Drosophila melanogaster: one gene and its partner. The protein of the gene in region 2 purifies or fractionates together with the protein of the main gene of each other region. This does not show direct contact. Each region holds a gene or a part of one and is shown on either strand. Other genes may lie near its edges. The genes, in order: Ankrd49 and Bdbt.

The links.
Region 1: the proteins of Bdbt (region 2) and Ankrd49 purify together in Drosophila melanogaster (affinity purification with western blotting, with the first as the bait; one study listed by BioGRID). This does not show direct contact.

What each region holds. Positions count from the first base shown.
Region 1 is NT_033779.5:14,998,113-15,014,863, forward strand, and holds Ankrd49 (Ankrd49), read right to left. Parts: upstream 9,320-16,751; 5' UTR 9,230-9,319; coding exon 9,094-9,229; intron 9,045-9,093; coding exon 8,533-9,044; 3' UTR 8,471-8,532; downstream 1-8,470. Other genes in the region: DCTN5-p25 (dynactin 5, p25 subunit), read left to right, coding at 7,713-7,760, 7,849-8,148, 8,206-8,427; NC2beta (negative cofactor 2beta), read left to right, coding at 9,806-10,357; THG (tRNA-histidine guanylyltransferase), read right to left, coding at 10,570-11,282, 11,338-11,485; Rnmt (RNA guanine-7 methyltransferase), read left to right, coding at 11,906-13,106, 13,164-13,246. UniProt on the Drosophila melanogaster protein: Required for regulating the establishment of planar cell polarity in the wing. Forms a complex with Bdbt which likely functions in the regulation of planar polarity by promoting the activity of Dco during planar polarity establishment.
Region 2 is NT_033777.3:21,105,086-21,121,969, reverse strand, and holds Bdbt (bride of doubletime), read left to right. Parts: upstream 1-3,113; 5' UTR 3,114-3,185; coding exon 3,186-4,046; 3' UTR 4,047-4,113; downstream 4,114-16,884. Other genes in the region: slmb (supernumerary limbs), read left to right, coding at 1-417, 751-940, 1,001-1,136, 1,231-1,250; ppan (peter pan), read right to left, coding at 4,115-4,374, 4,426-4,853, 4,910-5,274, 5,337-5,666; Rab11, read right to left, coding at 6,586-6,719, 6,869-7,217, 7,903-8,024, 10,115-10,154; rtet (tetracycline resistance), read right to left, coding at 11,263-11,354, 11,413-11,718, 11,776-11,951, 12,245-12,318, 12,382-12,723, 12,920-13,363; Sec15 (secretory 15), read left to right, coding at 14,077-14,152, 14,217-15,334, 15,399-16,505. UniProt on the Drosophila melanogaster protein: Functions in planar polarity establishment and circadian rhythms by promoting the activity and localization of dco/dbt.

The DNA of each region.
Region 1 (16,751 bases), on a different chromosome or scaffold from region 2:
TAAAAACAAAAGATTTATTTATAAGGTAGTATGTTAAAATGAGACATTTATTATTAAACCAAAATAAAACTTAATGAAACGTAATTGCATTGTATAATCAAAAATGCAATCGTTATAATATCAAAATTTCAAATTTTAAATTGCAATTTCCACTTTTCATACAACATTCTTTAATTTAAACAATTATGTCAGAAAAAATAGGTGCCAAATATTGGATAATATTAAAACGAATCCTCAAAAACTCCATCTTCGCAGCATTCCAACTTAAAAACCCCCAATACTTTTTCCTTTATTTAGTTATTTGCCAGCTGCTACTATTGCTAATTCAATTAGCATAGAGACCCGTCTGGTAATTAATATTTAATTTGCTAATTGAATTTTTACTAGCGACTACCGTGCCACGCACCAACGCCAAGCCAAATCACCAAGTTAGCCTCCGTGATCTCTGTTTATGTCCAGTCAATCCATCCGACTTGTGAATCTCGACAGTTGCAAATTTGGCTGGTCGACGCCAAAGCCACTTTTCAGCCGCAGTATGCTAGATCTTGTTGTCTTTGCCTTAGTAGTGAATCTTTTATGATGTGCAAAATTAGCCATAAAAACATACATAAACAAAAATGTAAATATTGCTGTAAAATCAGTAATTCATTATACGTAAGGCTCTCTAGAGTTTAGCCGATGTACTTAGTCTTTGGATTTAAAAAAGTATTATTCTGTGTTTGGAAAAAAATGTGGTGCTTAAAGCTGGCTGAAAAACTTCTAAAGTCGTATAACTATTTTTACAGCATGCAATTTATAAAGGAAGTATCTAAACTACTGAAATATTTACTTTATGTTAAAAATGCTTCGAAAAAGGTTTTTAAAACTGGTGTTTAGTTTTTTTTTTTTGCTTATTGGCAAACGGACTTCATCATAATCGATTCCCTAGCTACGAATAAACTTCCGCTACGCAGTCCAATGATTCATTCCCATTAAAATAAATATCTTGGGGCAAACCAATTCTTTTGACTGCTCTCACAGTGAATTCGTACACATGTTTAGTCACCACGAGTTCGTCGCCAAAGTCTTTTGTTCTAGCGTCATTTATATGCAAACCTATCACCTTGATGGGCGATAAAAACCAGAAAAGTCTGAAAAACATAAACAACAGCATCCCGGACCAGTGCAGCAAAGCGGTGACCACAAAGTTGAAATTAACGAAAATTCGCGCGGCAAGGTCAGTTCAAAGCGGTCAACGACTGCAGGCCGCACGGGAATGGCCAACATGAAATGCCCTTTTTCGAACAACAAAAATTTATCGATTGCAAGCAGTAAATAAAAATTATTCAGCAATAAAAGCGAAAAAAAAAAATTAAAATTAATCACTCGACAAGAGGAGATAACTTCTGAGCTACGCATAATGCGGCTACCGTTTAAGACTTAAATGAAAATATAAAAAACAGACACAAAATCCGGATGTGTCGCGATGCCTACGGATTTGGCGCGCCCAGACCGAGGACGGTCGTTGGTCCCTGGGGCCACAGAATCGCCGACGAAGTAGACCACAAAAAAAAACGACGGACACCGTACGTGTCCCATATCAGGAATGCAAACCACGCGGCGGTCACTTTCGGTTGGACATTGTTTCTGTTATTGCCGATTTTGGAACTGCTCGACTGACTCAGTTTCGGCGAACCTCCACTAAAAGCATTCATAACTCAACTGCCAGCTGTCAGCGGCAAAAAGAAGAAAAAAAAAAGCAGATACAAAATATCCCCAGGTTTATACCACGAAAAAAAAAGGGAAAGGGCAGTGTAATGGAAAATTATAATGGAAATAAAGCGAGTGCTGATGCTCTCGGAGTTACTTTGCAATCGTCTCAAGTTCAAGGTCTTCTCGATTTTGCCGTTCAGTGCGATGATAGTGCATTAAATGTGCTGCGATGGGAGATTGTTGTCTGTCGATGGAATGGTAATTGTAGTATAATTATAATGGGCTTAATGGAAGCCGCAGTGCTTGCGATGGCAAATAAGCAGATTGCTTTTAAAAATTATAATAACTTACTGGATTTGCAGGGCTTATGAATAAGCTATGATTAGTAAAATGTTGCAAACGGCTTAAGATTTTCTGTATTTTGTATTATTATTAATTGAGTGATAAAATAATATGTTTATTTCACGCTCCAAAAGGTTTACCCGAGTGAAGCGAACTATGCGTCACTAAAATTGACTTAAAACCAAATAAGGAAGTAATCGACTTGAATGTCAATTACAATTACATACGCACTCAGAGACATGCGCCGAGTAATAAATTAATCAAGTTGCGCATACGCCATGTAAGCCGGCCGACAGTCGCCGAAATTGAATTCAGTCGATTCAGTTGCCTTGATTTCAGCCCGACAAACTATAAACAAGCGAAATATACGTTACGCACAAATTAAATTCATGAAGTTCAAACTCAGAAATTCCAGCAAAAACAGTGGCTACCGACGAATTACGTGGCATGCGGCATGCCTGCCGCCTTTTCAGCCCCCGAATTCCCACATTTAATACATTTCGTTTTTTTTTTTTCTTTGGTCCGAGTGCTCGCAATGAGGAAGGTCAAGTGCAAGCGCCAAATGTGTTTTATATTGTTTTTCACATTAGTCTCAGCTTTTTGTTTAATTAATTTTTAATACAATTTTGGCCGGTGGCTTGTTTTGTTGACGAGCGCGTTGATGATGTGACAGGCGGCGGCACACACACACGACTTGGGTGGTTCTGGAGGCTAATTGTGGCAGTTGATGGAAGGGGGGCACTTAAAAGGTGCTCGGGCGCCACAGGTGCGACCTTGACGAGGTGGCAATGAGAAGAATTGGTAATTTTGAATTAAATAAAATCACTGTTTAGAACTACAATCCATCAAAAGTTATCTTCATTGATTGTATTTATTGGTAATCAAAAATGGTTTACTCTAAAACTTATATATACAAATGAGGAGTATTTAAATATAAATCAGTATATTTGAAATATGCTTACTTATATAAATTCTTAAAATAGCTCAAAAGTATTTAGTTGTAAGAAGTATGGCCAGGTTTTCCCTTGCTGATTGACCTCGGATGCGATACCCTTGCCACTAGTTCACAGAACCCTCACAAAAAAATTACATAGCCACCATTGACCGCCACTCTCGTTGTTATCGAATGTTTAAAATCGAATTTAATTACTTCCACCCACTAACAACTTCCGAGGCACACTTCGCACGGAAGCCTTGGATACAATAATAAGCCCAGCCATTGAGCACGCTACCTATATGGAAATATATGCTCATACAAACTGGAGTTTGATTGTCAATCATTGTCAATCAATTACCAAATAGTGGGCCACCCAGCGAGAAACCAAACGAATGTGACACTGAGTCGCTGGAAAACCTTTAAAGTTCAATCAACTGACAGACACAAGAGACTTAATCACCTGTTTATCAGCTAAGTGGGTTGGAGGGCTTATAAACCGATACCGATATCATATCATTTTATATTATATCATATTTTACCGAGCGCGCTGAAAGGCGAAAAGGAAGTGGAAACAAGCCGAGTCACAACAAGAAACCAAATTGAATCAAATTATATATGTTTAATACCCGAAATCCAGACCGATCCAAATACTGAGACTGAATCTAAATCGCTGCTCGTGGCTCGAGGTTAGCCTTGCCCATGGCATACAAAGCTGAAAATTGAATTTGGCTTATTTTTTAGGTCTCTCGTCAGGTTCAAAACTATTAGCGCCCGCATGCAAAAAGAAAAAAATAAAAAGAGTAAGCGAAGTCCAATAGAGCAATCAAAATTGGAACAATGCATTAACGTAAGGCAAATAAGCTACGAGAAATGCATCATGACATATATATATTTAAAGTATAGTTTTTAAAAAAAGGATATGACCTAATTAAAAGAACTCCTTGTCAAAATTCTGTTCATTCAAGCCTCTTGAAATGGCACTTAATTGGTCAGCACAGCAAAGATCAGCTGTCCTGAACTCAACAATGTGATTTACAACTATGTTCCACACTGTAGCTGCTGTTGTCAGCAATGTTGTTTCTGGCGTTGTCGTGCGTTGGTTTTTTGACAGTTAACTCTCTACTGGTTTTGATTTTTTCGTGTACCGAACGGGGGCCACTTGAAATTTGATTATAATCGATTTTGGCAAATAAGAAGTAAAAAAAAAAACGGCAAAAAGCAAAAAAAAAAATCACGGGCAATCGTTATTTAATGCGAATTCAGCCTCGGGGCAGAGTTAATGTTTTAATTAGCACAACTTGGGCAATCTGAGGTCGCTTTTTGGGGGCAAAAAGCAACAAATTGCAGCATGCCACGCCCATTCAAGCGTATCCCAGAGGGGGCTGTGGGTGGGAAATTCGTTATATACGTACCCATAATTTGTATTATAAATATACGCCACATCAAAAGCGCATTCATTTGTTGCTCGATTCACACAATTTCTCATTGCTATTTGTTTGGTCGCGCTGAGCTCAAGCATTGGCAACTCCAACTCCAAATCCAACAGAGTTATGGATACCCCCTCCCTCGCAAACCGTTGAGCTACTGTCATTGTCAGACAATCGTTAGTTAGTTCTTGAACTCGGCTTTTGAACTGAGCTCTCAAAACTTCGTTGCTAATCGCGAGCTACTCGTTTCGCGTTGGGATCTTGACATGAGGAAGCCATTTGGTCACCACATGGAATTGTAATGACTGTAATTAATAGAAACCAAAAAGTGCTTGGTCGCTGGAGAGCTGGAGGCGGCACTCCAATGCATATGGTTAATGGGGTTCTAAGGTAGAACCATAATATATCACGCAACACATTTTCTAAAAATTTAACTTTACACTTAAGGAGTCGTTCTGAGAAATGAAACTTACTTAATAGCTATGTTATTATAATTTCAATAAAATATCTATATGAGTCTCTAAAGAAGGAAACTTTAAAACAACTTTAGCGTGAAATGGGACAGTATGGAAATTCGTTGTGCTTAGTTATTATGTTAGTCACATCAATTATTAAGAGAATTTTCGGTGGAGTCTCAAAATTGGGTAGCCATTTATGGACAGAAAAGTGCATACTCAAAAGATCCTTGAATTACTCACATTCCGAGAATCTGATAGTCACCTTTGTTCTGTCAATCTGAAACTTAGTGAATATATGCAACTACACATGTGCAGCATACACACCAACATAGGAAATTATCTGCGAGTTGTCAATAGATGCATGTTATCGATCGAAACAAAAGACTTGAACAAAAAACTCGTTTCACTTGCGGGATTTAATTTTTTTTCTTTTTGTTTTTGTCGGTCAGCTGGGGGAAAAAAGTGAAAATATTATGCAACATTCTCAGACTGACTCTTTCACTCCAACTTACCTTGCGCGCATTGAATGCAACAAGTATTTTCACAATTTTGCTAATTCCAATTAATTTCATTTGTCGTTTCACCTTCATTATTGCATTATTACAACTCGCCTGTTCTTGGCCAAATCACATATATATATACACATATGTATATATGTAAGCCATTTGCAATTATTCAATTAAACATGACATGACTATCTAACTGGATAGCACTGGCATTGTTTTAGTTTCAGTGTAATTTCCATTCAATAATTATGCGATCTAGTGCCGCCGGTTTTGTCTCGGAGAAAACAATTCAAAAATTTTATAGCCATAAAGCCATCAAGATCAATGCGATCGTGAGCGATTGTCTTTTTTTGGTGGCGATGGGAAGGGCAGAGTGCGTGTTTCTTGATCTTGATTAGCTGGCCATTTAATAATGAGTTTTCCCAACAACAGCCACTTGATACAACAGAAACCAATTATCAAGGTCGCGGATGAGTTGGCTATTGTAAATATTTACATACACACACATAGCTCGCGGCCCTCCTTCGTGGGCTGCCCAAGGTCGAAATGTGGCAGAAGAGTTTATTCGATCGCTGTTGGACTAGTGTAAGGCAAACACTTGACTACACGTTCTACGACGAAGTCAAGACCTTCGCGGCCATGGACTTCTAATTGCTGGCAGGGAAAGTTACAAATATTACAGAAAATTACCTTGAGGTTACAAAAGTATGTACCTAGGTTGATTTCGGATTTCATATCTCCCTATATCTTAAATCACTTTATCGTTTAGATTTGCTTTAATCACCAGCATCGAGAAATGATTGAAGCTGCTTCGTATATTTAATCAAACACTTAATTAATAACCGATTCATCTCAGTTTCGCCTTGCTGAAAATCACACTTAACAATAGGCACCATTTTTAAATCCGAAATGAAACAAATTGGAATAATTTGTTTGATCAACCGATTGAAGAGTTGTTTGTGTGCACAACTCAATTAATTTCCAAACATTATTCAAGTTCAAGTTTATTAACCTTAAGTTCAAAAGTGCAAACACCAAACAGATTAATAGATTCCGATGCGGTTTTTCTCGCCGAAGGTTAAACGATTTGTGTTCTTTGCTTTTGGCGGATTCTTCAAAGCTTCAATAGACTGGCACAATTGTTTGCAGTAATTGGCATAGAAAAGCAATAATGGCAAAGTTCAGATAGTTCAAACCAAGAAGGTCAAGTGGGGTGGGGAAATTCATTGTAGCTAAGAAAGGCAGTTGTTCTTAAAAGTCTGAATATAACAAAAGATTTCTGCGCTAACAAATTTCGTTACTATTTCTCCATGTTTAGTTAATATTTTCGTAAAATCTGTTAAAGAATGTATGGAAAATGATTAAAAAAAAACAAGAGAGTCGAGTTCTCTGACTATTAGATACCCTTTACTCAGCCTTCTAGCTTTTATCTCAAATAGCTTTTATAGTTCCTGCGATCTCTACGTTCAAACGGACAGATCCTGATCAAGAATATATATACTTTATTTAGTCGGAAACCCTTGCTTCTACCTGTTACATATTATTTAACGAATCTAGTATACCCTTTCAACTTTACATAGTCTTCTTTATTGTTTAATTGACATTCTTTAAGCGTAGTTAAATCATATATGGAAAAGCCCGCAAATCCATAGCTTTGCTTACTTCTGCAAAATGTGGAGAGCCAAACGAAGAAAATAGTAATGAAAACATAAACAAATTAAAATGCTGCCAGAGCTGCCGCCGCTTGAGGCATTCGAGCGTGCCCCGCGAAGGTTAAGCCAATGGGCTGGGTCTCGCGATTATTAAGGAGCGCATTAATTGGAACTTCGTTGGAGCGTCGGACAGCGGGAAGTTAAAAGTTTTGGAAGGTCGGTGCGTCAATGGGAGGCGGCGGAGCTTACTGCGCTTTCAGCCAACAGCTGTGTGAGTTCAATTATGCACATTCTTTTCGTTCTGCCAGCAGATTTGCGCCTGAAGAGCAGCTGTCTAGATGTGCATCGTGATTTGAGAATTATGGCTAAAAGTTCAGGGTCAAAGTGGGTTAAACACCTGGGTTTTCTATGCACCCGCCAAGGCAGCTTGTAATTTGTAAAACTTCGCGTGTGTCTAATTAATAATTAGATGTAATGCCAAGCTCTTCAATGGAAAATCAATGGAATGCAACGAATTTGAATTCAAATTTGGCGCCAAGCTAATGTGGTTTAGGTCTTGACTTAACGCGTTACATTTGGTATTTTACCAACTATACACTGCGACCACACACATCAGCTGGTCGAAATATTTTCGCAAGTGCAGTTTCACTATTTTATTTACTTTACTTAAAAATAGTTTTTAAAACTGCTGATTAATCATGGAAATTCCGGATACCTACTACAGCAAAGATGAATACGTAGAGACGGCAAGTATTCGCACTGACTTCCGCTTTGGGATTCCATTTAAGCACTAAGAGATGACCTCATCATGACCAAAAAACTGATTGTTTACAGGCTTCGGGTAACAAAGTTAGTCGCCACACGGTGCTCTGTGGTTCCCAAAACATTATTTTGAACGGCAAGGTGATCGTACAGAGCGGCGCCATCATTCGCGGCGATCTGGCCAATGTCCGGACGGGAAGATATTGTGTGATTGGCAAGAACTCCGTCATCCGACCGCCGTACAAACAATTCAGCAAGGGAATCGCCTTCTTTCCCATGCACGTCGGTGAGCATGTTTTCGTTGGCGAAGGAGCAGTCGTCTCGGCGGCCACCATTGGATCCTATGTGTACATCGGCAAGAATGCCATCATAGTAAGCTATTACTTATTGTTATACCCTTGTAATCCATTTACTTTTACCATCTTTCAGGGCCGTCGCTGTGTTTTGAAAGACTGCTGTGTAATTGAGGATGGGGCTGTCCTGCCGCCAGAAACTACCGTGTCCAGCTACATGCGTTACACGGCGAGGGGAACCATCGAGGGTGGCCAGGGCAATCCGTATTTTGTGCCCGCCGCCATGCAGGACGAGATGATCAACTACACTAAGTCATTCTACGAGCATTTCGTGAGGGCTCCAGCGCCAGCCAGCTGAAAATCGTGGTGTCTACCAATTCCATCGACAGAAAACATTATTTATGAAATAAACATATTATATTAGTTATTCTATAAGTATGCGCATAGTTTGACTATTAAGTGATTAATCTATCAGTCCCGTTTCGCAGTCGTAGGCTTCCTCGCCGGACTCGAAAATGGGAAAACTCATGCCAGTACGACGGGCAATCACCGAGGCCAGTTCCTCGGAGTTGTTCTCCTTGCGCGGCTGGATGTATCGGTCCAGCAGAAGGACCGTGGCCGTATTCCGACAATTGGACACAGTGGCGGTTATGTGAAGCGGCGTCTGCTTGCCGTCCGATTCCGCATTTACATCGGCGCCAAACTGCAGCAGCAAATGGGCGCAATCCGCATTGTTCCACTTGCAGGCGGAGTGCAATGGCGTCCATCCCAGCTCCGTGCGGGCGTTGGGATTGGCATGGTACTGCAGCAGCAACTTGGCCATATCCACAAAGTTATTATAGGCAGCTCGGTGCAGCGGCGTGTATCCGTCGTTATCCTTGGCGTTCACGGTGTCTGCGTCCAGTTTTAGGATTTCCCGCACCTCGCTGATGCGGTTCTCGTTCACCGCCCACAGAATCATGCGTTCAATGCTGCCTATGATGATGTTTAATTAAACTATTTCTCTAAAATGTATTCTACTTACTTTGTGGGTTCTTGTCCTCTTCGATCAGTTCGTCGGCATCGTCGTCCCAGCCGCTCACGAACATTCCGCGCGGCACTTTGGCGTGGCGCAGCTTCTCCACCTGTGATTTTTCATCATCGGAATCGTAGTCCCCCATTTTGTGGTAATATATTAATAATAAGCCGGAATTTAAACAGCTCAACTTTTTGTTTTCTATTTCTCAAAGTGACCGTTGCTTAGCCGCTTAAGTACACTTAAAAAAATACTAAACACTTAAAAATATACTAAACGAAGAGTGGAGTTTTAAAAAGAACAGTACATTTGGTTTTTCAAATAAAAAAAAAAAAACTATTTATATAAATAATGGTAGGAATTATAAAAAAATTATTCTTTTATTTGAAAAGTCTGCCATTTAAAAAAAGGCTGTATTATTTATAATATTCATCAAAATCAAATTAATCAAAGATTATTAAGCCATTAAATTTGTGTTGAATACATAAATGATATACATCATTTTATATCATCATTTATATATTTTATTTTTAGCTATATATGCTTTATATAGTTCATTTCAATCAATTAATGATTTCATTTATTTACAAAAACAATAATTTTTCGATTACATTTTTCTGTTAGCAGTAAACGGCCACTCTAGCACACTATACTAGTAAATCCGAGAAAAACATCTGCTTCCAAGTTTGTTTGTTTGTTTGTTCCTTGAAACCAGGACGCCATGTCGAATCCGCAGGAAGAACTACTGCCGCCCAGCGCCGAGGACGACGAGCTGACCCTGCCACGGGCCAGCATCAACAAGATCATCAAGGAGCTGGTGCCCACGGTGCGGGTGGCCAACGAGAGTCGCGAGCTGATACTCAACTGCTGCTCAGAGTTCATTCATCTGATCAGTTCGGAGGCCAACGAGGTGTGCAACATGCGCAACAAGAAGACGATAAACGCAGAGCACGTCCTGGAGGCGTTGGAACGCTTGGGTTTTCACGACTACAAACAAGAGGCGGAGGCCGTTCTGCACGACTGCAAGGAGGTGGCAGCCAAGCGAAGGCGCCAGAGCACGCGCCTAGAGAACCTGGGCATTCCGGAGGAGGAGCTGCTGCGCCAGCAGCAGGAGCTGTTCGCCAAGGCACGCGAGGAGCAGGCGCGCGAGGAGCAGCAGCAGTGGATGAGCATGCAAGCGGCAGCAATGGTGCAGCGACCACCGCTGGCAGACGGCTCCGTTGCCAGCAAGCCAAGTGAGGATGACGATGACGATGACGACGACGACTACTAGTAGGAAATAGTCTTTCTATGAGCTTAGTGTAGATTTAATCTTAAAATATATGCCATAAGTTGAACTTTCAACTATTAGCTACTCTTCATTACGGATCATCCGTTTGTCCTTCACTCCAGCAGCCTGGGCACCGCATCCTCAATCTCCGAAACGACTTCCTTAGATGTATCGTAACTTTAATCTTTAAAAATGCAAGACTATTCGTTATTATATCAGCTGGTACCAGCCAGATTTTGTGGCTCCTCCGCCTCATTGTCATCCTTGCCATTTATTTGCATCTCCACCAATCGGGGAAAAGTTTGTGGTGCGTCGTATGTGCCTGGCACATATTTTCCCAATATTTCGGTGTGTTCCTTCCAGAACTGCGAAGATATCAGATCCTCGTGCAGCGGCACCACGGCCTGCCTGCTCTTCTCACCCAATATCACGCGTTTTCTCAGCAGAATCGTTCCCTTTCTGTACATTGCCGGCAGATTGTTGTAATTTATCCCGAATTCCTGGAAGAGCAGCTCATTTTTGTCCGCCGAAAAGGTGCCACGGAGTTTCGCCTCGGCTTGCTGGTTCGTCAGGCCTTTTTCCAAAACGAGTTTCCAAAAGGCGGTATTGTACAGGTTGTTCACATGCACATCGGCCTGTCGCCAGCTGAGATAGTCCTTTAGATTCTGCTCCGAAGGATACAGAACAACGCGACCATCGAAACACGGAGCATAGGCCAATGGCAGATTCATCCACTTGGACCATTGCATTACATAGCTCGAGGAGAACAAGCTGGTGACGTAGGTGAGCAGTTTGGCGGATCGTCGCTTGAACGCTGCCGTCTCTTTGCGAAAAACAAAGGAGTACTCATCACTTTGACCGTAGGCGAGGACAATATCCCGAAACTCCTGCATCACCGCCGTGGCAGCAGCATTCATCACATTGAGAGCTAAAGCGAATATTTAATGGGATTATTAAGAACTATAATGAGTGTTTTTTCTTACCATTTTCATCGTTGGGCTTTTCAAAATCGTGCGTCTTGGAGAACTTGTGGAACTTTTTGCCGTCTATTCGTATGACTATCCACACATTAGGCAGTATGCTGTCGTCCTGCTCAAAGGATTTAACGTACTCGAATCTGCTGCAGGCCATGCTGCGTTTTGGAAAATTCCGGGCAAGGGAATAATTCAATAATTTAACAAATTTATTCAAAGTTCCAAGCAACCGCATTTAAAAAGTTAAGAAATGCATGAGTTACCAACAGCTGATTGATGTTTTCCATTAACAGCACTGTTAACTAGTGCTTGACTAGTGATGGAACTTTTAAAATCTGTTTAGCTTTAATCTTAAAAGTAGCTAATGAGGATGGTTTAGAGAATATTGGTTTATAAAAAATTAATTAGGAAGAAAAATAAATTTAAATCTAAAATGTATATTTCTTATTCTGAATACTTTCCGCGCGAAATAACATCGAGTGCCGATAGCACTCGTGCACTCATTCCTAACTGACCCGATAACTTCGATAGGCAACGACTGTTGGTCATCCGGCAAAACAGAAAATTAATAGAGACTATGAGTCTTAATTACGAACAAAACGCGGCAGACGAGCAGTTCGCCCGCGCACACAAAGCAGTCAGCCTGTCGGACGACGAGGAGAGCGAGGGCCAAGCGGAGACCACGTCTGCACCAAATCAGGAGCCGCATGTTAGTAAATCACCGAGGGAGTACTACGATGAGCCTGGCGGGAAGGGCAATGGAAGTGGAGCAGATGATCAGGATGAGCCGGAAACGGAGGCTGCCAGCGGAGCGGCCAACACACATGTGGTGGCACACCACTACAACGAGCTGAAGGAGGCGGGCCGCAAGGATCGTCAGAAGTCAAAGATATTCTTCATGAGGAACTTTAACAACTGGATCAAGAGCCAGCTGATCAACGAGTATATGTCGCAGATTAAGCAGAACAAACGCATGGGTGATGCTCTCAGAGTTCTGGACATGTGCTGCGGCAAGGGCGGTGACCTTCTCAAATGGGAGAAGGCTGCCATCTCCCACCTCATCTGCACCGACATCGCTGAGGTGTCGGTGGAGCAGTGCCAGCGGCGATATCAGGACATCCTGCAGCGATCGGAGAAGTCGAAATTTGCGAATAAGTTTACCGCGGAGTTTTTTGCCTGCGACTCCACATTAGTGCGCCTGCGGGAACGGTATAAGGATCCTTCGCTTCAGCTGAATCTCGTGTCCTGTCAGTTTGCCTTTCACTATTGCTTCGAGTCAATGGCGCAGGCAGATTGCATGATGCGGAATGCAGCCGAGTGTCTGAAACCCGGTGGCTTCTTCATAGCCACAATGCCGGATGCCTACGAGATCATCCGCAGGCTAAGGGCAGCCGGTCCAGATGCCCGGCGTTTCGGTAACGATGTGTACAGCATTGAATTTGACTGCGAAACGGATCCTTTGCCGCTTTTCGGAGCCAAGTATCAGTTTCACTTGGAGGGCGTTGTCGATTGCCCCGAGTTCCTAGTGCATTTTCCCACGCTGGTCAAGCTGGGCAGAAAATACGGTCTGCAGCTATTGAAGCGCTCCACATTTGCGGATTACTACAAGGAAAATCTGCACCACGGGCGGCATCTTCTGCAGCGAATGTCCGGCTTGGAGTCGGTGCAGCCACAGCGCTGCGAGAATGATGAAGAGTTCGCCCATGTGAGTAACTTTCAGGGAGCACAGCGAAGCAGGTCGGTGGGAACCCTCTCGAAATCCGAATGGGAAGCAGCAAGTGAGTTTACTCAGCATCGACTTCTGAATTCCATTACTAAATAGCTTCTTATTTCAGCTCTTTATTTGGTTTGTGCCTTTAAGAAATGCAAAAACACCTGGGACACCAATGGCAAACCATTGTTCGAATTTGACGACTGATTATTGCCAAAAACATTCACGTTATAGACTATTATTCTGTACCCGTGGCTTAGCACTTTTAAAGTTTATACTCGAAAGCATGAACAGATTATTAATTTCAGAAAAGATTAGCTCCGTAGGTTACAATTCGTAAAACTAAGGGTATGTTTGTTTGTGTTCATAGGTTTCAATTCAAATTTTATTGTCCAGTCTAGGAGATATTTAACAAATTTACGAGAAAGCCACCAACCATCAAGCTACGAAATTTCAATGTAAATCGAGAATGTCATTTTGCTAATAAAAATTTTTAATTTAGAAAATTTTATTTACTATTGAGTCCGTACTATAGTTAGAAGAGACGTATTTATAAATATTACAGAATATTTCGTAAGCTAAATAATGAAAACTAATAAAATGACTTCAATGGAAAAATCAGTATTATTTACAATTAAATTCCAAACTACTAAATAACTGGTTAACTTTTGAATGGCCCTCGCTTGAGCCGCCTTTCAATCCGCCTATTTCGAAAGCTTTGATAAGAGGGCTTTGGCCAAGTTCGAAACTGGAAGTGAGATGTCGAAGAAAGCTTCGCAGGACGAAGCTCGCTGGCCGAGAGAGAGCGCACAGCTGTTGCTTTCACAGCGACGGCGCCTTTGAAGGACATCGGGCAAAGGTTAGTCCTGACGTTTACGTTGCCGGGTCGTGCCCGCCAGCGACCCAACCTGTTCAGCTCAGCTCTGGAGCGACCCCAACCAGTCGGTGGCGAAAAGAGAAAGCGTGTCGTGCCAGGCGCTCGATGCATCAATGAATTATTGTAGCTGAAGTGTAAATAAATATTTAATAACGGGCCGAAAGTGGGGTTGGTGTTGGAGATGGTGGTGCTGCCCTGGTTCGCTTTTTGATATGCTGATGTGCGATGGTGCTGGTTGGGGTGCCATGGGGGGGCATGGAGAAAATAGCGGCATAAATTACACCATTGATTGGTTTCGAAGCGACTGCAAACTTTATATTGGCCCAATCAGTTAGCTCTTTCTTTCATTATCGCTTAGGGCTGAGCACTTTGGCCGTCTTCCGGCGCTTTTCCTTGGCCTCGTCCTCTGGCCAACTTCTTGTCAGATAATTCCATTATTTAAAGTTTCGCTCATAAAAAACAACTTTGGGTGTAAAGTTTAAATTTGTTTTGCACATACTGACGCACAACACTGAGGACGACAGGACAGGCACGTGTTCGTGAGTGGGTGGATGGGTGTTGGGATAGGGATACGGAATGGTATAGGGCGACTACGCTTTTGTTTAAAGTAGAGCGTGCGTATTTATAAGGCAAACAACGGAGCCTGGCCGAGCTGTTTACGTTTACACACACACACACACGGCTTGGCCAGAACCACCTCAGCCCAACTCAGGCCACCATTAAACGTACTGAAACTACCTGAACCACCCAGACCAGCCGTCAAGCCGCCGCTTTTGGCCAGGTACTCTCCGCATGTCCTTCGCCACGACTCGCTTTGCACTGATTGGCCCTAATGAATCTTTTTGTTACCTTCTCCATGCGGCCGCCTGCGCATTGTACCATGCGGTCTATGTAAATTAGTTCACTTTTAACCCAAACATTGGGGATTGGCAGACATCCCACCCCAGTGCATCAAATTAACATTTTAAACTTTCAGGCGACTCGAATTACAAGTTTTTGTAGCCCTAAAGAATATGTTGTAATTGGGCGTCTGAAATTAGATCAAGCAAATCAGTTTGCTTAGTTTGTGATTTTTCATTTCTGAAAGTATTTATTTAAATTTAAACTTGTTTAAGATGCAGTTTCAACATGGAGTGAGCACTCACTACGATCGAGATATGTTTTCAGAGCGCGATGAGTTCTGCCCTAAAAGGACTCTCCTGAAAAGTATGCTACATAATCATATTTCAAGAAAAAGTTACAATCGATTGTAAAATACTTTAGACACCTTTGGGGTTGTTTTGTTTGCTTAATATTAATAAATATTATTTATATCAATACAATGACATAATACCAACAACATATATTTTTACCATCCGACGATGAAAACTAAAATCTACCAGCTGATCAAGGGTTAAGGACTGTGCCACAACTGCTGTCCAGGCCGAACTGAGTAATGTGCATATGTACGTGACTGCAATTTGTTTGTGTGGAAGGTAGTGTGTCGGTGTGTTGGTGCTGCTGGGCACTGACAAAGCGCAGGTAGGAAATGTAAGGACCATGGTACGTATACGCAGTGTGTGCAAACAGAAAACATGCCGCAATGTTTGTTTTGTAAGCCTGTCGAGGCAAGCGAGCGAATAAGTGTCTTTGCGTCTCTCTCTCTCTCTCTCTCTCTCTCTCTGTGTGTCTTTCCCCCTCGCGCTCTTACTCTCTTGGTCCTATTTGTGCAGATCATAAAATGCATGAGTGTGTGTGTGTGTGTGCGTGCCTTTTGACGGTATGTGCGTGTGTGTGTGCGCCTGTGTTTATTCAACCGCATGAAACAATGTGAAAAACGCATGCCAGGCGTGCGACTGTGTTGGTGGCTCTGTGTGAATGGCTGCGAGCATGTCTGTGTGCGCCTTCTGCTATGCTAAACTTTTTACAAGGATTGCCCCCGAAGCTGGTTGGCTTGGTTAACGCAACAATTTAACACAAAACCAAAAAGAAGGTAGAGCGAAACAAGAGAAGAAAAGTTGAGCGCACCGTGGGGAGAGGGGGGTGCGGTGGAAATAATAATAAGGGATGTATAAAAAATGAAACGTTCCACACATATTTGTGCATACCACACATACATACATATACATATGTGCCCAAGGACTTAGCGGCGCCCATTGAAAGGATGTGAAGATGATGAGCTGCAGCTCATCGCTCGGTAATCTTTTGTGGTTCTTTCCTGGCCAAAGAGAAACTTGAACCCTGCTCCTGCTCAATGCCTGAGTGTTGCCACATTCGTTGTGGTAGTTACTCTTGGCTCGGTCGGATGCATTTGTGCAACCACGACAGTGGGGCATCTACATTGCCAACTTGGGGCCGAATGTTGGCTCAGTAATTACATTTAATTCTATGGCTTGGCAAGGGTTTTGCTTGCGAATTCTATGCAGACTCATTGAATTCAAATGTCATGCCAATATGAAAGGGTTGTCAAGCAGTTACTTCCGTAATCTTATGCTTATTTAAATATACTATTCTTTAAAAAACTTATAATTTCATTTTAACAGAATATATTTATATATTTACAATAAAACATTATGCATTTTTTCTCTTTTCATGGAAATCCATAACAAGCCACAATCTTTTCAATTAACATTATCACACTATTTCATGTTGATTGCTGATTGCAGCTGTGCCTGCAAATGTTTTAAATCGCCCATTCAATAATAACTTTCATTTTATTGAATAGTTTTAGGAGATTACCATAACATAAAATAAACGTTCTATTCAAAGCAAATTCGCTAAATATTTCACTGAAAACATTTATAATTTTATGTAATTAAAACGTGAATTTAGAGTGAACTAGAAATCAAAATCAGA
Region 2 (16,884 bases):
GTATGACGACAAGGTGATCATCAGTGGCTCCAGCGACTCCACCGTCCGCGTGTGGGACGTCAATACCGGCGAGATGGTCAACACCCTTATCCACCACTGCGAGGCGGTGCTGCACTTGCGCTTTAACAATGGCATGATGGTTACCTGCTCCAAGGATCGCTCCATCGCCGTCTGGGACATGACCTCACCCAGCGAGATTACGCTGCGGCGCGTCCTTGTCGGTCACCGTGCCGCCGTCAATGTGGTGGACTTTGATGAGAAGTACATCGTGTCCGCCAGCGGGGATCGCACCATCAAGGTCTGGTCCACATCTAGCTGTGAATTCGTGCGCACCTTGAATGGCCACAAGCGTGGCATCGCCTGCCTACAGTACAGAGATCGCCTGGTGGTCAGCGGCAGCTCAGACAATTCCATAAGGTGAGGCGTGTGAACTTAACCAACCGACTTTCCGGCGCTGATGTGATTAATGATGGGTGTAGATAATTTCTGCGTGAATGTTGCGATTAGTAGTGGGAATTAACTCCGTCTGCCGTATCACAGATAGTAGCTTTAATTAACGCGTATTTCCTTACATTTTGTTAGTATCTGAATATTAATGAACTGTTCGTTTTTGTATATATTTATATATCATAAATATTATATTAAGTTTTCCTATCATTTTAAACTGCATAAAGAGATCATTTTCTTTTCTTTTACTTTGTCTACAACAATCTAATATAACAAATTTGAATTTTATTTTCTTTTTTTCAGACTGTGGGACATTGAGTGCGGTGCCTGTTTACGTGTCCTGGAGGGCCATGAGGAATTGGTTCGCTGCATTCGTTTCGATACGAAACGAATCGTTAGCGGTGCCTACGATGGCAAGATCAAGGTTTGGGATTTGGTCGCCGCCCTGGATCCAAGAGCAGCCTCCAATACTCTCTGTCTGAATACCCTTGTGGTGAGTCATTCGGCCAGTCCGTAGTAGCATTTGTCTAATCTCGATGGTGAACCCTTTTAGGAACATACTGGTCGCGTATTTCGTTTGCAATTCGATGAGTTCCAGATTGTTAGCAGCTCGCATGATGATACAATTTTGATTTGGGACTTTCTAAATTTCACACCCAATGAGAACAAGACCGGACGCACACCGTCACGTAAGAGAAGCCAACTTTCACCCCATTGATCTCTTGAATTATGCATAACGATTTCGTTTTGTTTTCTCAATTTCCATTGTGCTTGTTGCTATAGCGGCCTTGATGGAACATTAACATTTTGTGCAACGGCAGCTGCGCGAGTTACATCTACAATCCTCGAGCGAAGGAGAGGAGGACGACGATGCGGACGAGGACGACGAGGATGATTTTGAGGAGGAGGATTCTAGAAACGATGCTGGCGCGTTTATGGGGGGATATGTTAGGCACCGGGATGCTGGTGGTTCGGGATCCGTCACCGGTTCCGGTTCGGATCCCGAATCGGATGACCTGGATTTCGATATAGATGTTGAGAATATTAATGATTATGATGAATAATGAGTGAATGGTCGTTAACCAGCAGCATATACATACACACAGCAGACTTGTTTAAACAAAAAACGATGTTGAACCCAAGATACAGCGATCTCTAAGCGTCTATTTTACACACTACATCCACACACACACACACACACGAAACACAACCACATAATATGAATTAAATGAAGTTATAAAAGCAAACAAACAATAAATGCAGGAGTATACCATTTATGCAGATATTTCGCAAAACTGGCTGTTAGGTTTGTCGTGTACGAATGAAACAAAAATGAAAGATGCAAAAACGGAAGGACAGAAAAAGTAAAATTATATATAAGTTTATGTAGGCGCTGTAATACTAATCGAGGGTCAGTCTTTGAATCGCCCTTCGGATCAGTGGATCGATCGATTGGGCGTTATTTTAAGTGTTTCTTTAGCTCAAATACACAAGTATCGCGTTTAGGCAGCTGCCGCCTCAAGAATCGCAGCAGGAATCTTCAGCGCGGCCAGAAGAATCAGTCTTTAGCATAAATGTTAGTTAGAGTTGCATCATTGAAATTGGCAGAGCGCGTTGCCGTTTTGCACATTTGTAACCTATTTTACACGCCTTTTGCCTAATGTTTGTGTTAATTGTAAAGTAAATCTAAGCCTAGTATCTTATTGGCAATTGTAATCTAAGTTAACCGAAATACAAATATTTTAATTGAAAAGTTAATTGTGTAAAGAAGGACACGCAGCAGTGTCTGCAACTGGAAGTTGCACATCTTTCGAGCGAAGATGAATTGAAAATGGATCCATTGTACTGCAATATATAACCGATTCTTTGATTGATTGATCTATGCTAACTATAGGTTTTAGATATACCGATGTATGTAGAAAATAGCAAATTCCCAGGCAATTTCAACAATATAATTATATGTATGTATGCCGTTCGTTGATTGTGATCAATGGATATTTTACTATGTGTATTGCTATTTGTAAGTTAAGTTCCAATGCTATACTTGATCTGGATCACGATCACGCCGCTTCCGCGTTAACTAATGTATGTACATAACGTTTTACTTTAACAAAAGTGTTAACAAAAATATGAACACATACTCCGGATTATGTAAAACTGTTAGTGGAAAGAGGGCAGCATGTTAAACGATGGCCGAGCAACTGCTAGTGCGCGAATGGGCTTAGTATATGTAACATAACTAGAAATAATAATAAATTGTGTATAAATGCTAGAAAATTGTTTATCTTAAATGGACTCACCCAATTGATTAAATTTAGTGAAGCGGAAATGGGTAATAAAAAGTTTTACTAAAGAGCCATGAGTTACAATAAATGCATGCTAACATTTTTGTTTTGGAATAGAAAGATTAAAACCACTAGAATTGAATTGGGCGGTTTTATAATATTATATAACCGCATATTATTGTATTTCCTAAGCTCTGAAAATTTTCATATTGTTGCCCAATTTCTCCTTCGCACTCCCACCAGCTGCGTACAAGGTATCTGATAGTCGACTAACTCACTTGTTTTGCAAATAGATGCGTAGTCCATGCATTACATTTATGAACTAGTGAGAACAAAGTATTTTTTGTGAAATTCGCGATAGGTACATTTTTGACGGTTTTCTGGTCACATCGCCAAATCGCAAACTTTGCTTACTGCTAAATTTCGAAGCTCCCAATTTGCAAATATTCCAAAATGGACTGGTACGTGGGCACAGAGTGGGAGGACAAGAACCGTGGTCTGGCCAAGAAGGTAATTGGCCTCCAATTCACCGAAATGGACAAGCCCACGATAATCAGTACGGTGGAATTCAGTGTCAACAAGAAAGCCACCAACTTGGGAGGACGACCTAGCAAATATTTGGTCAGCGATGAGTCCGCTACGTATCCTCAAAAGCACAGCCTGGAAATGGGCACCAGCCTGACCGCAGTGGACTGCTACTTGGAGCTGCTGCTGCAGCAATTTGTGCCGGGTGAAACGGCAGCCTGTAGCATCACGACCAAAACCGGCGAACGAATAGAATTTGAACTGAAGCTGGAGAAAATTGTGAAGAACACTCAGGTGGAGAAGCTAAGCGCTGCAGAGATCTATGAGGTGGCACTACGTCTCAAGGAAAGCGGCGTGGCCACCTTTAAGACGTTCCCGAAATTCGCCTTTGATTACTTTGTGCGTGCCGCAAAGTTGCTGATCACCTACAAACCCTTCGATAAACTGACCAAAAAGACCAATGGCATCAACGGCCAGGCGGTGGAGGAGCTCTTTATTCAGATACAGACCAACCTGGCCGCCTGTTTGCTGCAGGAGAAACGCTATGAGCATGTAATCTACCACACGCAGTTTGTGGAGACGGAGGAGAGTCCCAGCGAGAAGAGCATCTACCGGCGTGCACTCGCCTACTATCACCTGAAGGAGTTCGCCAAGGCGCAAGCCACCATCGAGCGAATGCCCAACTACGAGGAGAAGCGAGAGTTCAGCAAGCTGCGCGACAACATCGCTGTTAGCTGGAAGGATAGCAAGGCCCATTACAAGGAGGTGGTGCAACGTATGTTTAGTTAGTTCCCATTGATAACATTGCGATGTCGTGTTAACCAATGGTCTTTATAAAATAGCTTATGTTAAATGTACTACTTTGATTTTCTACTCTTTCTGTGGTCAAACTTGGCGCGCTTGTTTTTGGGATCGAACTTGGCTCTCCTGTTCTTGGGGTCGAATTTGTCCTTCTTGTCCTTGCGATCGAACTTGTCCTTACGATCGTACTTGTCCGTGCGCTCAGATTTGTCATTCTTGTCCTTGGTATCCAGTTTAGCGCGCTTGTTCTTGTATTTCATTCCGCCGCCCAAACTAGGCCGCTTTCGGGAGGACTTCGCTTCCATTTTGAACAGTTCTGCAAAGGAAACATTAGTTTATATTCTACGCAGCATGTAGCACAACTCACCTTCGTCTGGTTCCTCGCCGACTTCCTCCTTGTAGTACTCTGCATCATCCTCGGGATCGCTGTCAGTCCGTCCCTCTGCCGCCCTCTTGGCAGCCCATTTTTCATCCTTCTTAAGCTTCAAGTTGCGGGCACGGTTCTCTGCCTGCTCCTTCTTGCGCTGCTCCTTCTGCTTTCGCTTCTTTTCGACCAGCTTGCGCAGGGTTTCCTTTTCGTCCTCTGTCTTGACCACATGGTCGTGATACAGTACTTCGCCCGTCAGAAGGCCCTCTTCTATTTTGATGAGCTGCATGGTTAGTCGAGGTCCGATCTCGTGTAGCTTTATGGAGCTCTTTTTGTCCTCCAAGTTGCCCTTGCTTTTAAGAGTCTGTGCCAGCACCACATGTGATTGCTCATCATCTTCGGCCTCTGATTCGGAGGCATAGCCGTCCCTGAAAATCAATATTATGATTATTTGATGGAATGAGAACAAACGGTCATTTCCTACTTGGTCACAAAGTCCACGACTTCGTTGCACTTGCCCAGATTGGGTACCGTTCCTTTGACGATTTTCTGGACCGCCCGCTTTAAGCCAACCGGCACCACCTGCACGGAGTAGTGCCGCATCTCGACCAGCTTCGTGTCCGGATTGTAGGAGAACAGGACGCAGCGACGAATGGTGCCGATATTAACCGTGGCCAAGTTAATTGAGGGGAACATGTTTTGGAACGTGGTGGCCATCAGCTTAAGGTGCTTGCCATCGCCACTGAAGTTGTTCATGATGACGAGCGGAGCGTGCTTGAAGTGATCGTTGTCAATCATCTGCTTTTTGCTTAGCGAGATCACATCTCTGGCCAGGGTGAACTGGTGAACCTGACAGAGAATAACTTCGCGGTAAAATATCCAGTATAAACTAAGCGATGAAACAAACAAACCTTGAAAGTCAGGGAAGGACCGCGCGGCAAGCGGACCACTTTGAAGGACAGCTGCGTGGAGGCCTTGTTGAAGATGCCCATGTGCGAGACGTGGAAGAAGCTGCTCAGGCTGACAAAGTCCTTGATGCGGTTCATCCGCTTCTCGCGCAGATTGCTGGCCGTAAAGGGCTCCATAATGCGGCGGAAGTCCAGGGTGAGGTCCGTGATGTACGGACAGGCGAGGCCGCGATGGATGACGAAGGAGTGCGGCGCCTCCACGATCTCGCTCGGCTCGCTGGCCTTGAAGGCCGCCGTGCGCGTCTTCGGATGCACTTTCTTCTTACCGCCCATGTTTCAATGTTTTTGTTCACTTTTCTCCCGCACGTGTATGGATCAGTGTGGCTGCTCGCGCGGAAAATACCAAACACCCACTCCGACGTCTGCCTTTGGTCACTCTAATCCCATTTTAAATTTCGATTTTCCGCCCAATTGAAAGCACTTCTGTTTTATTTAAATTATATTTATTTAATCACACTTAACATAGCAAACACAAATGATGTTATTTCGTTTCATTTATGCATTTAAAGTTTTACAACTGTTTTTGTTTGATTTCTCTTTATCAGCTAGTTTTACCAAGTGGCCAATCGTTTAAAATGTTGCGAGAAACCGAAGAAGAAAATCCGAGCTGCAGTGCTGTGGTAATGAATTTGCGTTTAAGTCGAAGAATTTCCGGTTGTTTGTTGTTGTTCTGCTCGCGAAATTACAACTATATATTTATGTTGCGAAAAATTAATAATATTAATATTTTAATATTAGCATATATGTATATTTATATAAATTATAGTTCTACAGCTTAAACTGAATTTGGAGTGTTTAGTTTTGCTTGCTTTCTTTCCGCGGCGGTCGATTTATGCGATACTCATGGATCTGTATATATATAAAACTTCAGTTTAAACCGCAGTTAACTACAGCCGGATGTTGTTGCTTTCGATTCTTTTGCTGCTGCTGCTGCTTCTGATGATGGTGGTGGTGTTGGTGGTGGAGAGTGGCGGCTCAGATTTGAATTATCAATTTATGCGCACATGACAAACTGTGGCTGACAAACGCATAGACATCTTGTGCGGTCCATCGGGTGTACGCTGCTCCTGATCTTGGTGTTGCAGTTCTGGCCGCTGCTGCTCCTCTTGTAGTCGTAGTTGTAATTGCTGTTGCTTCTGTTTATGTTGCTGTTCTGGCGGTTGCGGGGAATAGCGAAAATTGCTTGGGGCGGTCACTGACAGCACTGTTTGCGCACATCGGCGGTGACAGTCGGCTTTACGTCGATGGGCTCCACGTTCGACGGGCGGATGACGTCGCCTTCCGGCGGATCTCTGATCTGTTTCTGCGACACAATGCGATAGATCTCTGAAACGGGATTACGAGACATCATTAGTCGTGCTTCGTTATCATTAATCTATTGACTTTCAATGAAGCGTTTAATCTACAGTATTTAAATATTCTTAAACGATCGATAATTTGAAAGCAGACTAGCTAAAATATCCTGAACGACCCACCTGTGAGTATGTTCTGGAATGCCGTTTCAACGTTCGTTGAGTCGAGGGCCGAGGTTTCTATGAAACTCAAGCCGTTGCGCTCGGCAAACAGCTTCGCCTCGTCCGTGGGCACGGAGCGCAAGTGCCGCAAGTCGGACTTGTTGCCCACCAGCATGATGACGATGTTCTGGTCGGCATGGTCGCGCAATTCCCGCAGCCACCGCTCCACGTTCTCGTAGGTCAGATGCTTGGCAATGTCATAGACGAGCAGGGCCCCCACGGCACCGCGGTAGTAGGCAGAGGTGATGGCGCGATAACGCTCCTGGCCGGCCGTATCCCAGATTTGCGCTTTAATTGTTTTGCCATCGACCTGCGTTGGATGCACAAGAAGGATGAAACAAAGGACAGCATTAGAATGGTGCCAGTAATTGGCAATTTCGCCACGAAATGCCTGCGGCGCATTCGCTTTGAAAATTAATATACAAGCACTGGCATTCAGTATTCACACATAACCAACATAAATTAGAGCTTATGGATAAGCTTTTAACTCTAGTAAGAGAACCCAATTTTTGAAATTTCTTACACTAGTTAGAAAAAACGCAAGTAGCGTAAGTTATATTCATTGAACCCATTTGATATACTAAATATTAAGATGACCTACTAAGCTACTTCGAAAAGATGGCACAAAGTATTGTTTAACACAAATCCTTATACATACGTAATATATAATTGTTATTGACCACATAAATTTATTATTTCAGCACAAGTGACAACTATGATGTCAACATTTTGGCTAATCCCGTAGGATGGCTTTTGAAATTATGCAAGAAAGCCAATTGGCAATCCATTATTTAGTGAAATTCTCGACACTTACTCAAATTGAACAAACTTTTCCCCCCAATTTTCCGATAGACGCCTCAACTACGTGTCCTCCCACCGAAACGCACACGCAAGTTCACCCGTGACTTCCCCCACTGTGGGTGCGGTGCGGTAGATGTGTGGGGGTGGAGCTCCATGGGCCACTCCACCCTCGAATTCTTGGCCAGCGTACTCACCTCTATGCTGCGCGTTGCAAACTCAACGCCAATCGTCGACTTGGACTCCAAGTTGAATTCATTGCGCGTGAAACGTGAGAGCAAATTACTTTTGCCAACACCGGAGTCACCGATAAGGACAACTGCAAAGGATTAGAGGGAATTAGTGACATCGACATTGGCATTGGATAATCGAAGACCCCCAGTTGCATAATTTATGTGGGTGTGTGGTGTGGCGTGGCGTGGCATGGCCCCTGTCTTGTGTTTTACGGCCGGACAGAATGGTCGCTGGTGGCCCGGCTAGGTCATGTCCTCCTTTCGCCGCTGGCACGGCGCACCAAGGTCAGCGAGTACATAAAACCGCCATGCTCGGGGGATTTCAGGCCATGGAAAGAAATGTTTTATGATTGGGCCAGTCGACGTTAGGGAGTTCGTGTTATTGTGCTTCATTGCCGATAGCAAACATTTCTTGGATAATTGAGTGGCGGATATTTGAGGGAGCAAACAAGCATCCCAAGTTGATATGCTACCCGATAAAAACTATCCACTGACCTTTTTACGACTCCATTTCTTTTTGATAAACTTTCTTATGTGCGGCCAGAGTTGTTGGCTATAATATATATTAACTGATATCTAGACACTGTGTTTACTGACTGTCTGTCTATTAGTTTCCATTTTTGACACCCTTTTCGGACATTGTTGATTCAGCATGTTTGCTAATCCATTCAGAAAACAACAACTATAACTCATCAAACACCTTTTCGCTCTATCGCTATGGTCATCGCTGCACGGAGAAAATTCAAATAGTAAAATGGTATCATATGAACACTGATTCTTGAGTTCGAAGTTTCGATTGCAATGCCATTAAGATAGGAACTAAATATTTGAAACGACTTTTGAGCTAAGTCCAAGTTTTTGACTTAATTTAGATAGCTAAATTAGAGGGTATAGGGTTTTCTTTCAGTGTGGACAGCTGGGAGCAGCGTGGTTACAGTTATCAGCGAGAGAGCTGAGTCACTTTGTTTTCTACTCTCTTTCTCAGCGCTAATAACGATCTTTAAAGAGAAATTGCACTTAGTTAAGCGGATGCGATGAGAAATTAAAAGGGGAGGAGTGGTAATCGACGGTCATTACTTAGTAGTGGGATTGGCTCGAATAACCCGAAACGGCCCATTTTCAGTTATGTGATTATGCGCTTATCGGTGAGTGGAATTCTTCAGCAGTTATTGGCTGTGAGTCATGTCCGTTTAATATTGTTTCATGTGTGAAATTTGAGGCCTCATCATGCATACCGCACACTGACGCATTATTATGATGACTTTTTTTTTAACTTTTTGTATACTTGACCCAAAAAATACGGCAGATTAAGTTTTAAATATTTTTTTAATGACATTCAACAGTTGCTCAGCTGTGATAGCTAGCAGAGATTTCCAAGCGCAATTGGAATTTATGGCGTAGTAGCAAACGAAGGGAACAAAGAAGAGCTGAGAATTTGTGACCTCTGTTCATACATATCTACACATAAACGGGGGAAGATGCGGGATAAAAGTCTTGTTTTCTACCTGCAAATACATCATTTTGCTCTACTGTGCTTCAAACTTTCAATCGAGAGCGGGTGAAAAAGAGAGCGCGCGTGAGAGAGAGCTACTAAACGAAGTTACAAGAAACCATTGCAAAAGCCAGCTGTACAGAAATCATAATACCCACACTCTCGCTCTATTTACTGGATATCTAATCACTTTAGCATTTCGAGTGGGTGGGCAAGCCTTAAACCTACTTTACAGAGCGAGCGATTATAAATACGATCTGCTTGGCTTTTGTATGCAACGTGGCGAGACCAACGGCACTGTAATGACAAAACAAGCAGTTAACGGCAAAGTACGCGTACTCCAGTCCGAAAGAGTACCCCAAAGAGATGGAGATAGGCAGAGTGAGAGCGGGAGAGCCACCAAAGGGCATCCAACTGCAGCAGTAGCAACAACAACAAACTCGGGGGGCGTACTTCTTATTTTGGGAATTAATGACACTCACGCAAACAAACACACCACATACCATCACATGAACTTTGGGCTCTTCGAGTGCACTTTTTGTTATTCTCCAATTAGTTTCAATTAGTGCTATTGAACCACTGTCTCTCACGGCAGGGAGAGGAGAGCCTGGAAGTGCGGCTCCTCCCCTCCTGATCAACCTTCCGCGATCTTCGACCAGCGGCTAGTATCATGTTTATAATTACCTTTGAACAGATAATCGTACTCGTCTTCTCTTGCACCCATTTTGCTCAATTTGTTTTGCTATCGCTCGCTCGGTTCGATATCCTTTGGAAATCCAGTTCCGTCCTTTTTGTTTTGTGTGTGCGGGTGCTAAACGAAATCCAATAATCCCTGCGCGCCGCCGATTTCTTTAATGCGTTTGTCGTCGGCTCACACACTTTACACTTTTATTTGCAGTTGTAGTTGTAAAGAAAGAGAAAAGTGTATATATCAGTATTTAAGTGGCGAAATCGGTTGCTCTTCCAGCTCGGATGCGTTCGAAAATGCTGGCAGGACTTTTCCGGCAATTGGAGCAGTATTAATTGGAGATTTGCAGCTGCTTGCAGCGCATTTATTTGCAATTTTCTCTTACACGAAAACTTAGTCACTCCCAATAACGTCACGTTATATTTCCAACGAGACTAGAGATGTTGAAAAATATCGGTACATCGACATTATTTCGGCGATACTTATCGATTTTCTTAATGGCGATGTAAGGCGATAGTACAATGTCACTTCTATTTTTGTTTATATGAACATTGTTTTATACTCAAAAGCTTTAGAATTAGAATTAAATTTTTTCATAATTAAAACACATTAGGTCTAGAAAATAAATCTAATGTTTGTTTCCTATTTAAAAAACTTATTTGTTTTATTTTAAAACACCAACATACTTATATCATTATCGATGTTTTCACATCGACTTGCATCACTAAATTAACGAGATGGATGTTTTAGAGTTACCAGACGGTACGACGAATTATCATGAACTGCTCTCGTTTCATCCCGACAAGCCTATCGTATTTTAAAAAAGCTGAACACATTTTCTAGGGATTATCCCTAGCCCATTTAACTTATTTCCAACTCAAAATGTCTTGAATACTTAAAACGTTCCAACCTAAACAGAATCGTTCTCCCAGTAGCAGTAACTGTTTCTAATATTATCTTATTAAAAAAATTAATTAAATAGAAAACATTTCGATCCCAAGTAAAAACCCCCTGCTTACAAATCAGAGTAAAAATGTGTTTATTTTAATATAAAATACTTGTAAAAAACGATAAATTAAGTATAATGTGCAGCTAATACTTCCGTTGATCTCTAGTGAGTTTAAAAACTCTATTCCTATTGCACTTAAATGCGAGCGCGTTGCAAGGCCATGGCTGGATAAATGAGCAGAAGTCCGCCGGCTATATAGGTGATCCTGGAGCCAACGCACCAGAAGGCTATTAAGGATTAAAGAGTTTAGAAAAGGTATAATCCTAAGACAGCTGAGGAGCTCACCAATGCATCCCACCACGGGGCCCAGAGCTCGAGCCAAAGCTCCCAGTGAGCGGAATATGCCCAGTACTGAACCCTTCTGGTCATCGTTTCCGTATTTGGATACGAGGGTGGTCAGACAGGTGACAGCGAAGGCTGTGGAGATTGCGAACAGGGTCATGCCGGCGTACAGCATCCGACTGCCCTCGGCTAGGCCGACTACTACGAAGGCGGGTACAATCAGGTACAAACTGAAGATGGCATAGCCTTTGATCTTCGCCTCGGGCAGCCGTCGGACCACCGATCCCTGCAGCAAAGTCATGATTACACCTAGAAAAAGACACAAATTTGATAGGGAATATTGTAGATTATCAACTTGCTCCATACCCGTTGTCAAAAACATCTTCGCCTGATCCATCGAAGTGTAACCGAATTTGTGGTACATCAGAAATGTGACGGTGAACTCCAAGCCGGAATACAGAAAGAGATACAAGAAGTATACCAGGCCAATGGATCGCAGTGCCGCAATGTCTTTCTTAGGCACATTTTTGATGGCAGCAAATCTGTCAGTGGGAGAATTCTTTTGAAATATGATTGTAAAATCCAGACATAATCATTGGTAATAATCTTCTAGCTAACTGGACTCAATTCCCTGTAACTACAATTAATCAAAAGCAATCTAGAATTTACTAACTGATAAGGCAATCAAACAAACGTGTCCGAGAACCCGGCATGATAATAGTGTCTATCAAACCAGTCAGGCAAGTCCGGGTGGCTTGCAGTTCTCACCGTATGACGATTTCGATTTGATCACACGACAGGTTTTCGAGACATGCTAATTAAAACATTGAATTACCTAAATATGGCCGAAAAATTGAGCAACTGCAGGCCATAAGACAGTGCAGATGATATCTCCTTAACACGTTTCTCCTGCGAAAAGGTCAAACAATTAATGGTGTTGGGAATATATTTAATTTAGCCAACCGTACGCACCTTGGGCAACGTTTCCCGCAGACAGCAGGCCAGGACCACAAGATCTCCAACTGCCAGGCCAAACGCCAGCAGAGAGGGCAACACAAACCAAGTACTTCCACTTTTATCGGAGAATATGGCGAACAGGGCTCCAATCATGGGCCCCACAATAAAGCCCAGCGAGAAGGCCACACCCACAAGGGCCATACCGCGTCCACGGGTCTTAACGCTGGACACATCCGTAATGACGGACATGCACAGGGATATGTTGCCCTTGCTAATTCCGCCCACGAAGCGGGCCAAAACGAACAGGGCAAAGTTGCTGGAGCAGGCCCAGATCAGATAGGATAACGCAATACCACTCTATAGATGAAAGAAGACGTAGCTTAAGGAAGGTTTACTTATTTGTGGCTTAGCTAAGGAGTTTGAATTTGACGAATTCCACGCTTTTGGATTGAACTCGTAATAGCATGAAATGTTGACCAAGCCAAAAAGAAAACTAACAAGACTAGTTTAGTGTTTAGTGCACATTAAAGCATTGAGCACTGGGATTACCTACCGCACAAGCCAGCAGGACTGGTTTCCGTCCGTAGTAGTCCGAGAGTCCTCCGACAATCGGACTGGCCACGAACTGCAGGAAGCTGAACATGGAGCCGAGAAAGCCTCCGAATAGCACCGATATGTAGCGATCCGGGGCGCCCAGGAGCTGCTGGAACCAGCGCACCCGATCCGTGAGCACGGCATACAAGCCGGAGCTGTCGTTCTGGCGATAGTGCTCCAACAGCGAGGGCAGCAGCGGCAGAATGATGGTGAAGGCCAGTAAGTCGAAGAGCAGCGATACGAAGATTATGTATATCATGGGATCACTCTTCTCCGGCTTTCCATTCTCCGATGCTTCCTTATCCAGCGCTTTATTGTTGTTGTGATGGTGGCTTCCGGTTTGGCTGTGGCTTTGCTTCTCCATGGCAGCGGTTCCATTGTGGCGACTCCGTAGGTCGGCCATCTTTGCTGATTTCGGGTGTTTAGCTTGTGCCGTGATTGCGTGCGTGTACGGGTGTTACTGCAACATAACTGTATCAACGGAACCACAACTCCACCGACAACTCTTGGCCCTCTCGAGAAGCGGCCAGCCAAAGCGAAGCCAAAGTGAAAGCTGAACAGCAACAGCTGTTCCAAGGCGGCCTATAACGAGCAGACGGCATTCCAACCTGTTGCTTGCTGCGGATATTTGAAATAAGGGCGCCAAAATGAGTTATTCAAACATCTGTAATTAATTACTTTTCTTATCAAAATTACCAACGAATATTATGTTGGTGAACATTACTAATAGCATAGGTTTAAGTTGTAAATATTTAATTAATTTATAAATATTTTACAAATCATTGTTTCCTGCTTAAATAGTTAAGAACCGGATTTTGATATACATATATAAATTAAGTTTATGATTCGGTAGTTTTCGCCTATTTGATTTATTTATTTTATTACAATCCTAGTGATAATATCTTTTTAAAAGATAATGCAGTCAGATATTCTCTGACACAACTTTGTATTATAATTTAAAACATACCGCTTAAAATTGTTATCGCCTAGTATCGAAAGTCAAACCTCGATAACACTTAGTAAATATTCGATATACCATACCGATAAGTCGGCGAAATAATTGCTCATTAAAGTTTGGTAAAAAGTTGTTTAGAAGAGAAAAAAGAGCGTTATAAGATGTCCAAAGTGACCGTGCAAGACATTGAGGCGGTGGACGACTACTGGGGACCAACATTCCGTTCGATCCTTGAAGGTGACTGCGAATAGAAGCAATTGGCACACTTTGTTTACGCCCATTTTCCTTTTTTCCCGGACAGGCAACAACACTAAGCAGATTGGCGACCAACTGGAGCAGCGGATACGGAGCCATGACAAAGAGATCGAGCGGATCTGCAATCTGTACTACCAGGGCTTCATCGATTCAATTCAGGAGCTGCTCCAGGTGCGCACGCAGGCCCAACAGCTGCACAACGAAGTGCATTCCTTGGACACGTCCCTTCGCCAGATCAGCGCCTCGCTGATTCAGCAGGGCAATGATCTAGTGCGGGCCCGTCAGATCGAATCCAATCTGGCCAGCGCCATCGAGGCACTCAAATCCTGTCTGCCCGCATTGGAGTGCTACATGAAGTTCACACAGCAGGCAAAGAACAAGCAGTACTACCAGGCGCTGAGAACTCTGGAGACTCTGGAGACGGAGCACCTAACGCGCTTGAAGACACACAACTACCGATTCGCCACCCAGATGCAGATACAGATTCCCATAATCAAGGAAAACATCCGTCGCTCTTCCGCCTCGGACTTTCGAGAGTTCCTCGAGAACATCCGGAAGTTTTCACCCCGCATCGGCGAGCTGGCCATCACACACACAAAACAGCTCCAAAAGCGTGATATCAACGCCATCATTGCCGAGCACATGCAGCAGATGAATGGCGGCGAAGCCGGCGGAGCAGGTGCTGGCGGGGATGATGATGGTGCCAACGTTAGTGCCCAGGATCTCATTGACTTCTCCCCCATCTACCGCTGCCTACACATCTACATGGTGCTGGGTCAGCGGGAGTACTTCGAGAAGGACTATCGTCAGCAGCGCAGGGATCAGGCCAAACTGGTGCTTCAACCGCCGCCCAACATGCACGACAATTTGGAGGCCTACAAAACGTACATCTGTGCCATCGTTGGCTTCTTCGTGGTTGAGGATCACGTTAAAAACACGGCGGGCGATGTCGTGACCAGCAGTTATTTGGAGGATCTGTGGTCCAGCTCGTTAACCAAGTTTGTCAACGAAATCAGCATGAGTTCTTCGTCCTGCACCGATCCTAATATCCTTCTGCGCATTAAGAACCTCATTATGCTGTCCATCAACACCTTTAAGTGCTACGGTTACACCGTGAACATCCTCTGGGAACTATTGCACAACATGCGGGATCATTATAATGAGGTGAACGTTAAGAAATTCTATAAGCCATTCTGTTGTTTGTAAAACTCTTGGCTTTCCTTTCCAGGTTTTACTGCAACGCTGGGTACATGTGTTCCGCGAAATTCTCGACAAGGAACAGTTCCTGCCCATGGTTGTACAAAACACGGAAGAGTATGAATGCATCATCGAACGATTCCCCTTCCACTCGGAACAGCTTGAAAATGCTCCGTTTCCGAAGAAATTCCCCTTTTCGAGAATGGTGCCGGAGGTTTATCACCAGGCCAAGGAATTCATGTACGCCTGCATGAAGTTCGCCGAGGAGCTCACCCTATCGCCCAACGAGGTGGCCGCCATGGTGCGCAAGGCGGCCAATCTGCTGCTCACACGAAGTTTCAGTGGCTGTCTATCTGTGGTGTTCCGCCAGCCGAGCATCACGCTGACGCAGCTCATTCAGATCATAATCGACACGCAGTACTTGGAGAAGGCAGGGCCGTTTCTGGACGAGTTCGTGTGTCACATGACCAACACGGAGAGGAGCGTATCTCAGACACCATCGGCCATGTTCCACGTGGCCCGGCAAGATGCCGAGAAGCAGGTGGGCCTACGTATTTGCTCGAAGATCGATGAGTTCTTCGAACTAAGCGCCTATGACTGGTTACTAGTAGAGCCGCCGGGAATAGCCTCCGCCTTCATTACGGACATGATTTCCTACCTTAAGAGCACCTTTGACAGCTTTGCCTTCAAGCTGCCCCACATCGCCCAGGCGGCCTGCCGACGCACCTTCGAGCACATTGCAGAGAAGATTTACTCGATCATGTATGACGAGGATGTGAAGCAGATTTCCACGGGAGCACTCACACAAATCAACTTGGATCTGATGCAGTGCGAGTTTTTTGCGGCCTCGGAACCTGTGCCTGGTCTAAAGGAAGGAGAGCTGAGCAAGTACTTCCTACGTAACCGTCAGCTGTTGGACCTGCTCATTCTAGAGGAATGGAGCACGTATTTCCATGACTATGGCAAGCAAGAGAACCGCTACCATCTGGTGCAACCGCAGTCCATTATTGTGATACTGGAAAAGATCCGCGAGGCGGACAAAAAGCCAATTTTCTCGTTGGTGCGAAAGAATGACAAGAAGAAGCTTTTGGAGACGGTGCTCAAGCAGCTTAAGCACATTGCCGATAGACAGAATTAGAAATATCAGGCTTGTAGTTAGTCGCTTTAAGTCCTTGTTGAATTCGTGTAATCATAAACTATAGCTTTTCATCTTTATTGTTTAGGCTAATTTGAATTTTCACATGGAAAAAGTATTTAGTTCTCATTACATTTGATTCGATTTGTTTTTATAAAAGACAAATTTCAATTGAAACAGCTCGACCCGTTGAACGTGTAAAATTGTATTTTGAATTTTTGATTCTTATGTACAAAAAGCGCAGAACTTTAGCGGTTGCCTACGTACGGATTGTTGATAAATACAAAACGAAAACGACATAGAATGAAAACAAACGGAGAGGAACGTCTAAATAACAAATTGTATATAATTATTAGATGTATGTAGCGTACGTGTATTGTGT